Linked DNA regions of Arabidopsis thaliana. The protein of the gene in region 2 interacts with the protein of the main gene of each other region in a pairwise test. Each region holds a gene or a part of one and is shown on either strand. Other genes may lie near its edges.

Region 1 (3,144 bases), on a different chromosome or scaffold from region 2:
TCACAAAATGGCAAATCTCTCTACTTTGATCACGATAGCTCTCCTCCTTTGCGCCACCATGCTAACGTGCAGCGCCCGCCCTGAACCTGCCTACTTCGCCTCCTTCACAACCTCTCCGGCGGATACACTTAGTCTGGTTAGTATTATATGCGTAAACACATGTTGAATGTTGATTCATGCGTAGTTATATATTTTCGTTTGTAATTTTATGTTTCATTGTGTTTCATCAGGAAATGATAGAATCAAAATTACATGAGGTGGCGGGAGAGAGCTGCGATAAAGAAGACGACGAAGATTGCTTGGTGAGAAGAACATTGACGGCTCATCTTGATTATATCTACACACATAAGAATAATCATCATTAATTAGCTGTAAAATTATTCTAACGTTAATTGTTGTGAATTTCAAATTATTCTCACATGTTAAACATGTGTATATAGAATCATTGATTAATTCAATTTATTCTTTTAATGAAAATATCAAATTATTCCCAATGTAGTTAGAATCCTTAATCAATCCAATTATGTTTTATTTTAATCAAAAGTCTTAACTCCCACAAATTATGTGTGTGTTACAGATAAATGACATAACAAATTAATTCTAGAATGCGAGTCTGAAAAATATATGATTACATCTTTCTGGTTTATTAAAAACAAACTAAAAATAAATACAAGAATGTTAAGCATTTCAATCAAAAGAAGCATTTTGCAAGAGTAGAAGCTACCATCTGGAAATATTTGCAGGATTTTGGAATGAGAAATCTCCCCAAGATGATGATGGATCAAACGCAAATGACGAAGAACTCTGCTTTGCTGCATCATCCGAAGTCTTGAGCGGTTTAGCCTGCACAGTCTCGTGCTCAGGTGCACCGGTTAGCCTCTGAACCAACACTTTGAAGTTTACTGGCTCGACTCGGTAGACATGAGGATGCATTGGATTCAAAGGTGATGATATTGCAGGCCTCTTCAAGGGCTTTGAAGGTTGTTTACGTGTCGAATGGAGCGAAGTTAGGTAATTTTTCGTTGCCCTTGTGGTGGTTTCTTGAGCGTTAAGGTAACTCTGAGACATAAATTGTTGTGATGTTGCTTCCATTGAGACTTGAGATGTCGCTTAAAATTCTTTGAATGTGAAAGTTATGTTCTTCTGATATTTATTGATCTTTGAATGTGAAAGTTATGTTCTTCTGATATATAATGATGGATGTGCAACATGTTCAACGAGGGTCAAGCCTTTGGTTTTTGACTCTTATTAGGGAATTGACTATTGAGAACATTGTTTGTTTTTCTTAGTTTTGTTTATGAGAATCATAAGTGAAAGGGGAATTTTCAACGTGTGTGTTCTTAATATTTTATTGATTTGATAGTTTTCGAAGTTTCTGATTAGGATTAAACTATTAAGAGGAAGATTCTTTAATCAAACTGAATTAATACTTTATCAAATATTATAATAAAGAAAGCTGTGGCTGTCCACGTGACGGTTTGATATTATCTGTAATGGTAAGAAGATTAAGTACTTATCAATAGCCTTCGGATTTGAATCTAATCGGATTCCTTGATCTTTTTATTTTATTTACTTTTATAACAAGTAATCTATTAGCCGTAACAAAAAAACAAACTAATCTATTATTTTGATTTCTAGTAATACAGTGCGCATAAGAGTCACGTCAGTCGGAACGTTAGAGAAAAAGGTAAATTTGAACGTTACATAACGGTAACTCTTTTGGTTTATTTCTTTAACTACGATGCTCTAGATATCTTTCAGATTTAAAACATTTGAGATATATATATATTTGGAAGAGGTCACATAAGATGATAATAACAAAGAAGCTTAACCTCTGTTCTCGTGGTTATTTGATTTGGTAGATTAGTCTTAAAATTGTCTTGAAATGGAAAATAAATTAGGCAGTCTTGAAAGAATCTACTTGAATTTAATTGTTCATATTGATATATAGGAAAAATAACAATCCTAGTTCTGTTTTATTAAGAAGATTAGTTTCTTTGAAAAACTAAAATATATGTCTGAAATGGATATTTGGGCATAAAGGTTTTTATTTTATTTTTAGATTAGTATATGATACTTGCATGATTATGTTGCACATAGTTTTCTGAAATTCAGAAGGCGTTGTAATGAAAATTTTGATTTGATTTTTGCAGGTTTTTTAGAAGAGCATAAACTCAACCGGAGTATGTAAAGAAAACGCCTTGATGATGAAAGTGATGATGTGCAGATGGAGTAGTGATGGAAGGAGAATGTCATAGAAGAGAGAAATCTAAATGCATCATTGGGATTGTGCCGTGCCATACTTTGATTGAGTGTGGAATGTGTATATATCAGATGTGTGACGAATGCTTGTAAAATATATTGATTCAAACTATATATCAAACTCAAGAATAAGAACAAGATTATGAATAAAAGACTCTCTCTTTTATTGCTTTAAGAAAATAACTCAAAACCTAAAAACACACAATCTTAATCTCTCAACTCATAAGTTTTGCAACACTCTTGCAACTCCTTTATATAAGAAAAGAACTAGACAATTTCCTAATCCTATTAGGAAAACACACATAAGTATTTAGGCAACTTCCTAAACACAAAGTCTAATTTTAATTTCCTTTTTGCTTGATTGCTTCTTCTTCAAGTAAGCTTCAAGCTTACTCCAACATTTTCCCCCTTAAGCTTGAAGCTACACTTTGTCATATCTTGAACTCCCACAAGATCTCTCATCTCTTTGAACTTGATTCTCCCGAGTGCCTTTGTTAGAATGTCGGCTCTCTGTTCGGTTCCGGGGACGTGCTCCACCTCAACTTGTTCATTCGCAACGCACTCACGAATAAAGTGATACCTCTTGTGAATGTGTTTGCTTCGTCCATGGAAAACCGGGTTTTTCGTGAGTGCTATAGCCGACTTGTTGTCAATTAATATCAACACTTGCTTACACGTTTTTCCAACAATCTCTTCAAGTAACTCTTGAAGCCAAACCGCTTGTTTTGCTGCCTCTGTAGCCGCCATAAACTCAGCTTCACAAGACGATAGAGCCACAGTTTCTTGCTTTTGCGAGCACCAAGTGATAGGACAGTCATTAAGATAGAAAATATGACCCGTCGTACTTCTTCCATCATCCTCATCAACATTGTGACTGCTATC
Region 2 (4,078 bases):
GAACTAATTGTGTCATATATTTTATTTTATTTTTTAATTTTATATATAAGCCAAAAATTTAGCCTAACTACAAGCCAAAATTGTAATTGTTTTGCGGTTGTATAGTTTTAAGCTATCAATAACTATATTTCAATGTGGTAATCAATTGATTTTTGTAGATATTTAATTTACACAATAAGTTGAATCGGAAAGTTCAATTTTATATACTCTCTTTGTTTTTTATAAGTGATGTTCTAAGCTTTTATTTTTGTTTTTAAATATATGATATTTTAAAATTTTAATGCAAAATTTATTATATTTTCATTGGTTTTGATGATTTTTATTCCACAGATAATTTTTCTATTGGTTTATTAAATAATAAATGATATTTTAGTTTAAAGTAAACAAAAATTAAATAATTTATTAAGTGTGTATTCTCTTAAAACATCAACTAAATAAAAATTATAAAAGAAAAAATATATTTTAAGAAAATGGATCCACTAACATTTGATTTACATTTGTACATAATTTTATGGTTTATGAGAATGAGAAGCTTCCACGTGCATGCATGAGTTTGCATAGGTTAATTACATTTGGATGTATAATTATTCGAGCGGTCAAAGAGATTCTTAACAACCACAACCACAATAATTTGCTTAAGTCCATTTATCCGTATTTAATGCCCAACATTTTACGCGACTTCATGATTTCTATAAGTTTCATTATCGGTAGTATAACTTAGTAGGGGATGTATGGTTGGACGAACGAAATTTCAAAATGAAACTTTGCGAAAACGAAATGAAGGGGGATGCGAAATTCATAAAAATATCCCACTTTAATCATATAAATGTCTCATACTTAGAGTTAAAAGATCAATGATATGTTCAAATTAACCACTATATATAGTCCATATTACGTGGTGGAAATATCATTGGACAATGGAACAAATACGCAGAATTCTTATGGTATCGAGAAAAAAAAATCTTATCGTATTAATTCGTTATATAAATTATTTTTTTTTATATTTTTTTTTGACAAAATGTGAATATTATTAATCCATTATTGTGCATATAAATATCTATAAACAACGACAAGGATGATATAAATTTAGTGATCTAAAACAATCTCTAAATTTTAGCTAGTTCTCAAACCGACCAGACGTGCATTTCAGGCTCACGAGTGTGTGTATGGAGTTGGTACACTATATTTAACCACACGTTTGAAATGCAAATAAAAGCAAATTAATTACTACTTGTTACATGTAAATTTATAAGCAAGTTAAGCCTTTACCGAACATTCCCTTTGTCATGGGAAAACATCAACAAGAACTTTGACCATAAATATAACTAGATTTTGATCGGTTTATATGAAACATGTGAGTAGTTTTTCCACATGAAGTTAAAACAATCGTTACAATTTACATATTCTAAAAACATCAATACATATTACGAATTGGTGCCGAAATATATAAATTTAAATAAGCTAATCAATTTATTCTACAAACTATTCTCAAAATGTATAAGACCACTCAATATATATACCATCGATGTCAATTTTTGTTTTTTTAAAGATTAATATTTACTATTTAGATTTCAAAATATGGGTTGAAGTACATTTGACATGTACATGCATTTTTGGATATATATTAATATATGATTCTATATAATATATAGATCCAAAAACGTTGTAAAGAGATATATAGCTAGGAAAAGGAGGAAAGACTTAGGCAGTTGAACAGAAAAGTTAGGTGAATATAGTTGGCTTCAATATTATACCCTTTAACTCATTCTTCTTCTTTCTTTCCTACAAATATCCTTATAACCTTTCTTCTCCTCTTCTCCTTCTTCCTCTTATGCAAACATATATTTACATAAACACACACATATATATAGTAAGAGAGAGAGAGAGAGATCTAGCAAGATAGTGAAAGCTTCATAATCAATGGAAGGGGTTGACAACACAAATCCTATGTTAACCCTAGAAGAAGGCGAAAACAACAATCCTTTTTCTTCCTTAGATGACAAAACATTAATGATGATGGCTCCTTCGTTAATCTTTTCGGGCGATGTAGGTCCATCTTCTTCTTCTTGTACTCCAGCAGGTTATCATCTATCTGCTCAGCTGGAGAACTTTCGAGGAGGTGGAGGAGAGATGGGAGGATTAGTGAGTAATAATAGCAATAATAGTGATCATAATAAGAATTGCAACAAAGGAAAAGGGAAGAGAACTTTGGCAATGCAGAGGATAGCTTTTCATACAAGGAGTGATGATGATGTTCTTGATGATGGTTATCGTTGGCGAAAGTACGGTCAGAAATCTGTCAAGAACAATGCTCATCCCAGGTTCTTTTAATTTTATTTTATTGCGTCCCATACATTTACTAGTGTGTTTAAAAATATATATGACAACGTTAAAGTAGATATCGAAATTGACCTAAGCATATCTATAACATACACACACATCCTTGGTCACGTGTATATTTTGGAAACATTAGTTTAACAACCTAAACGACCAAAGTCATCAATTTAGGTTATTAGTCCGGTTGCATTACATTATTGCTTGTTTCTTGGAATTGGGGGTGTTCATTTTGTGGTTTATCCAAACCAATCCCTGACTTATATAATCCAAAATATAATTGGTATATATAACCAAAAATATTGTGTTTTTAAGTAACATTGATGTACCCCCAAATTTTGATCAATATATCACATTTACAACCTAAAAAGAACAATTTGGGCCTTTTATTTCGTTGTTGCTAGGAAACGATAACAGATGAAATCTTGCTCGCTTGACTGTTGTTGCTATGACAACATATTTTGGTTTGGTTTTAGTCGAATAAATCATATATCGATGAATCCATAGGTGATAATGAAACGAATATGGTTTGGTTGTTGCTGTTCGTCCAGCCCATATGTATATATAGTTTACATTGGATGATGTTTTCGTAGAACCAAACTAATAAACCCAAATTTTACTTAAAAAATTAGTTGTAAATTTTCAAAATGCATGTACTTACTTAATCAATACCTTAAATTACAATCTCTATTATCTGAAATTATTACCAATTATACCTCGTGAAGTCGTGATTAATATGAACTTTGTTCCATAAGATCTATACCAAAAAACTTAACATCGATAACACACATACATCACCTATATGGATTAATTTACTATTCACATTTTTATACAAAATAATATTTGCAGGAGCTATTATAGATGTACATACCACACATGCAACGTGAAGAAACAAGTGCAAAGACTGGCAAAAGATCCAAACGTTGTCGTAACAACCTACGAAGGTGTTCATAATCATCCTTGTGAGAAGCTCATGGAGACTCTTAGCCCTCTCCTTAGGCAACTTCAGTTCCTCTCAAGAGTTTCTGATCTGTAATTATTGAATGTTAATTAGTGGTGTAATACATTAATTATGCTTTAATCTCTCCATTGACCCTCAATCTCCAAAGAGACAAATGTATAGAATAAATCTCATAACATACATGCTTTAGGTTTATTGAGACATTGATCTATGTTTGCTTTAATTTGATTCGTCTAATTGTCCCTCTCTCGTGGATTATTTGTTTTTTTTTTAGGTGAACGATCACATTTAAACCAAGTGTAGTTAGCTCTGGTAAAAAGGTTTTAAGCAAAGGTTAGAAGTTGTTGGTTTGAATGATGCTTGGAACAAAACTAATAATAAATGTTGTGATTTCGGGTTTGAGTGGATTACGAGATTTGACCCCGAACCTTCTTCTATTTAAAAAAGAACAAAAAACACGATCACATTTAGGCATTTACTGGACCAGTTTTGAATTTAGAAAATGTTTGGGGTCATATTATGGATCTCAAAAGCTTTTTTTTTATGGGTTGCCAAAGCCCTTTGTTTGATTAAAGCAATAGCATGTTTGATCTGAGTATCTGACCAAGATTATGTCCTCGCAAAATATGAACGATTTAATACATCAAATCTGTTTTACACATATTATTCCGCATATATACTATCTACTTTAAAATGAAATGATTAACCTTAGTTCATAATGATTACGTGAAAAATGGTATTACATTTTGGGGTTTGGAGGATGCACAGAAACACAAGTGGTCG
Region 3 (4,271 bases), on a different chromosome or scaffold from region 2:
ACGGTATGAAACCTACAATGGAACAATATGCTTGTGCTGTAGATCTAATTGCTCGAGGGGGTCGACTTGATGATGCATATTCTTTTGTCACACAGATGCCAGTTGAACCTAATGCAAATATATGGGGAACACTGTTAAGGGCGTGTACAACCTATAATAGGATGGATCTGGGGCACTCAGTTGCAAATCATCTCTTGCAAGCTGAATCTGACGACACCGGAAACCACGTTCTAATATCGAATATGTATGCTGCAGATGCTAAATGGGAAGGCGTGATGGAGTTGAGAAACCTAATGAAGAAAAAGGAAATGAAAAAGCCAGCGGGATGTAGCTGGCTAGAAGTGGATGGGCAAAGGAATGTCTTTGTGTCTGGAGATTGTTCTCACCCTCGTAGAGACAGTATTTTTGACTTAGTAAATGCTTTATATCTTCAGATGAAAGAGCCTGTGGTGTTTTAATCGATGAAAATTGTTAAAACGCTGCGAAGCTAGATCATGATGGTCTACACAAAGCAATTGCACATATGACACAGACAAATCTTGAGTGAACAATGTAAGAGAACAATCTTCCTCTTCCAATGATATTGTTGTGAAACTCTACATGTACATAATCTTTGGGATAGTAGGCAGAGAACAAACTTATGATTAATCTGTCGGGTTTATGGTTTGCCACTCGAATTGGGAGATGTTAAAGGAAACAAAGTAAGCAATTCTGGTTCTGTATACCCCGGTTTAGACCTTGGCGATGGATGCAAGTAAAAGCGTCTTTCTTTAATGGCTTTCTCCTCTTCTTCGATGTTTGTTGTACAACTATCTGGTTCCCCTTCTATCAAGGACAAGTTAGAGAACAATGAAGAAGGGGTGCCCACTGGACTTGTTAAAAGGTTGGTATTACCAGATTTAGATGATGGTGTCGTACCAGTGGGCTTAAAGCTCAGAGGAGGTTTGACAATTTCAAGCTTTGGCCTCATACATTGCCTTCTCTCATGGAGCTTTGAAGTTGGCCTCTTTTGTATGGCGGTTTTTATCACTGTTGCTTCTGGTGTTGCTGCTGCAGCGTTGTTCTCTGTTGGACCTGTCAAGCGCTGCACAATTTCTCTGAAAGTGTTGGTGTCAGTTTGGACAAATGTAGTGACAGGCTTGCAGGTTGTTGCAACGTTTTGACTCCCTTTGCTATTCATATGTAAGTGTTTCTCTGACAAAACAACCTTTGATTTACACCTATTTTGGTCTCTGACCTGCAACAAAACTACCGTTTATGCAGTTGATGAGAAGATGAAAAAATATTCAAACATGAAAGGTCCTATCAAGAGAACCGAGGAATGTCAACTTCATGTGAGTTCAGAGATTAGATTGATGGAAGGTTAGAAATACTCAGAAGTCTTCTTGTAATCCAAAATTAGGTATTTGTTAAAGATTTCCTTCGTCATAATTTTTCAAAAACAAGCAACTCAAAACATAAATAGCTACAGATACAAAAGATGAGGTAGTCGTGTACTCAAACCTCACCACTTTTACAAGAGCACTAGATTCTTATGTGGGGAAAAATAATAAAAAATTGGCTTCTCCTAAATTTGCTTTGACTTGTTGTATACTCAAATATCTATATCAAAGTTTGGTGCTCTTACTAATTGTAGGAATGACAATGAAGAGGGCTTTTCATGTCCTAAATCTATCTTCATCGTCATAATCATCATCTTTATGGTGGTTACTAGTTCATATGATGAGAGAACTGTTAATAAAAGTTTCTATGTAGCATTCAATTTACGATTTGATAACCCTACAGGAGTCAGAGAGAATGATAAAAAGGTCAAAAGGCATACCTGAAGAGCAAGCCGAGGCAACAAGTGGAGGTAAAATCGAATGAGAATGCCGGATTTTTTTCTGAAGAAATAGAACTTAAAACAGAAGAAGGAAATAAAAAGAGAGAGAAAGAACTAAAAGAAGATATAAAGACTGTTGTTGGTCTAATGGTCACAGCTCAGAACTTGTTCATATTACCAGAAAAGAGAAGAAAATGAAAAGAGGAAAATCAGGAGAAGAATATGGAGAGGAAAGAGGAAAAGGACTCTTTTATCCCTTTGTTCTTAACCGTTTTTGGGTTTGGGTTTTTGTCACACAAAAAAGATAATAAATTATTTTGTTTATAGAACTAAGTTTGTTTGGTCAAACATCAAAATGACATAATTTGTGATGAGTTTATTTCATTGTTGTCGTGAAGGAATGGAGAAAGGAAGTTAAAGAAGGAAGAAATGCATGCCGTTTCGGTTAAGGAGATGGGTAGAGAGAGACGTCACAGCAACCTCTCTCCCCCGCCCAATTTATAAACCAATCGTTTTTTTTTTTTTGGCTGTCTCTGTTGAATGTGATGAGATATTATTAACTGTACTCATGACAGTTTCTTAACTGACTCTATTCGTCCTCTGTGGATAATTTTGTTGACTCATTTCAAGTTATGGCCATAACAATTAACAACATTATTCACTGGCATTGTCAAAGATAGGAGGCAACAACCTTTACCTGTGAGTTACGAATACGTTGTCGTTTCTTTTCCTTTTTTGCTTTGGACTGATAAATTTTGTTGCACGATAATAGTTGACTCTTTTCTATGCGTTTTTATTTCATTTCATACACAAAATTACGGAACTTGAATACCATTTTTATCTTGTTTTGACCAAAAATATTACAGCTTTTAAAATTCTAAAATTGCCAAAAGAAATGTATTAATCTTATTACTGTAGAGATGTCTATAGTCGTTTGAATCTTGTAGAACTTACCATGTGTCTCTCTAGTATCTAACTATCTTTATTCCAAACTTCAACCACTTTTACTCTAATGCTAACAACTGGGCATATCTATCATAAAGCAAATTTTACAACATGATGTGATTTCTACAATGTAACCATTCCTTTTTGTGTCTTTGTAATACCTTTGATTATGCTAAGGTTGCTCTTTTGCCCTTTGCTTCTCTTGACTACAAGCAAAATAAGATTTTGATGTTGTTAGTAATCAACAACTGGGTTTGTATAAAAGGGAAGAGGAATTAGAGTGGAGATGAGAGAGATACCGATTTTCTTGAATCCAGAAACTGGCTATATATGTCATAGAGCTTTTGTTTCTCGGTTTCGGAAACCGATGGTTTAGTTTTAGAAGCAATCGACTTCAGAAGAGGATCAGTTATTATTGGTGTAGTTCCGGTCTCGGGTTTATCTTCTCTGTTCAGATACTCGTGTACAGCTGCAAGTTGCGCATCTGAGAGAAGAGCTTGAAGATCAGCTCCACTGAAGCCTTCAGTCATCAAAGCTATAGGCTCTAGGTCAATATCATCAGCCATCAGAAGCTGTAAAAATGCAGAAAGATTTTTTGTCATCTTAACTACTTGTAATATATATAGATAAATCTTATCTACATATTGTCTAGGGAGACCATCAATTGAATGTCAGAATCCAATGGAAATCGCTTAGCCATAGAAGATTCTAGTTAATGGTCGTTCAGATATGTAGCATACATACTTTACATGAGACTTGAGGACAAAAATGATTAGCAGAAATGATGTAACTGAGAGTACTAACCTTTCTAGAAAGAACTGTAAGAATCTCTAATCGTTCTGGTGGGGAAGGAAAGTCGCACAAAAGAAGACGATCAAGCCGGCCAGGCCTTAGGAGGGCAGGATCAAGTAAATCTGGTCTACTGTTAATTGAGTCATGTATCCATTATAAAGTCATTATCCCTCTTTTGTATGTAATGAAAAACATAAATTGAGGACTGAGCACAGGCTTCAAGATTATCATATTTAAGATTTATTATTAACTATCAACTCAGAAGAATCCACCGTTTGCAGTTGATTATATGATACATCGAACACAAAATATGATATGCAAGATAGACTTATTCGGGTGTGAATACCTGGTTGCAGCAAATACAAAGACCCCTGTTAGAACTTCAACTCCATCCAGTTCTGTCAAAAACTACGCAAAAGAAAAATATGACATGAGATGTTTGAACTTTGACTTGGATAGAATTTGCTCAGACTTTGAAGTAACTTACTTGATTAACAACTCGATCAGTTACACCAGTATTATCATGTCCTCTTTTGGGAGCAATTGAATCGAATTCATCGAAAAAGAGTATGCATGGAGCTGCAGCTGCTGCTTTCGAAAATATATCACGGACCTGAGAGAAGTGTGTTTTCCATTATTGTATATGCGGAACCATTAGGATAACATTTTCAGATTTTTATGTAAAGAGACTAGCAGGAATAACAATTAAAAA

The links. Proteins that work in one complex are often made in the same cells at the same time.
Region 1: the proteins of WRKY56 (region 2) and AT4G37710 interact in binary tests that used the Arabidopsis thaliana proteins (3 or more experiments, as listed by UniProt).
Region 3: the proteins of WRKY56 (region 2) and AT5G08480 interact in binary tests that used the Arabidopsis thaliana proteins (3 or more experiments, as listed by UniProt).

Annotation. Positions count from the first base shown.
Region 1 is NC_003075.7:17,716,182-17,719,325, reverse strand, and holds AT4G37710 (VQ motif-containing protein), read right to left. Parts: upstream 1,199-3,144; 5' UTR 1,093-1,198; coding exon 721-1,092; 3' UTR 555-720; downstream 1-554. Other genes in the region: PSK6 (phytosulfokine 6 precursor), read left to right, coding at 8-136, 231-365. UniProt on the Arabidopsis thaliana protein: May function as negative regulator of flowering transition.
Region 2 is NC_003070.9:23,745,514-23,749,591, forward strand, and holds WRKY56 (WRKY DNA-binding protein 56), read left to right. Parts: upstream 1-1,790; 5' UTR 1,791-1,920; coding exon 1,921-2,321; intron 2,322-3,183; coding exon 3,184-3,370; 3' UTR 3,371-3,540; downstream 3,541-4,078. UniProt on the Arabidopsis thaliana protein: Transcription factor. Interacts specifically with the W box (5'-(T)TGAC[CT]-3'), a frequently occurring elicitor-responsive cis-acting element.
Region 3 is NC_003076.8:2,741,395-2,745,665, reverse strand, and holds AT5G08480 (VQ motif-containing protein), read right to left. Parts: upstream 2,348-4,271; 5' UTR 1,823-2,347; exon of another isoform or gene 1,249-1,822; 5' UTR 1,181-1,248; coding exon 659-1,180; 3' UTR 555-658; downstream 1-554. Other genes in the region: SLG1 (Tetratricopeptide repeat (TPR)-like superfamily protein), read left to right, coding at 1-458; PEX1 (peroxisome 1), read right to left, coding at 2,935-2,973, 3,067-3,339, 3,572-3,689, 3,906-3,967, 4,047-4,172. UniProt on the Arabidopsis thaliana protein: May modulate WRKY transcription factor activities.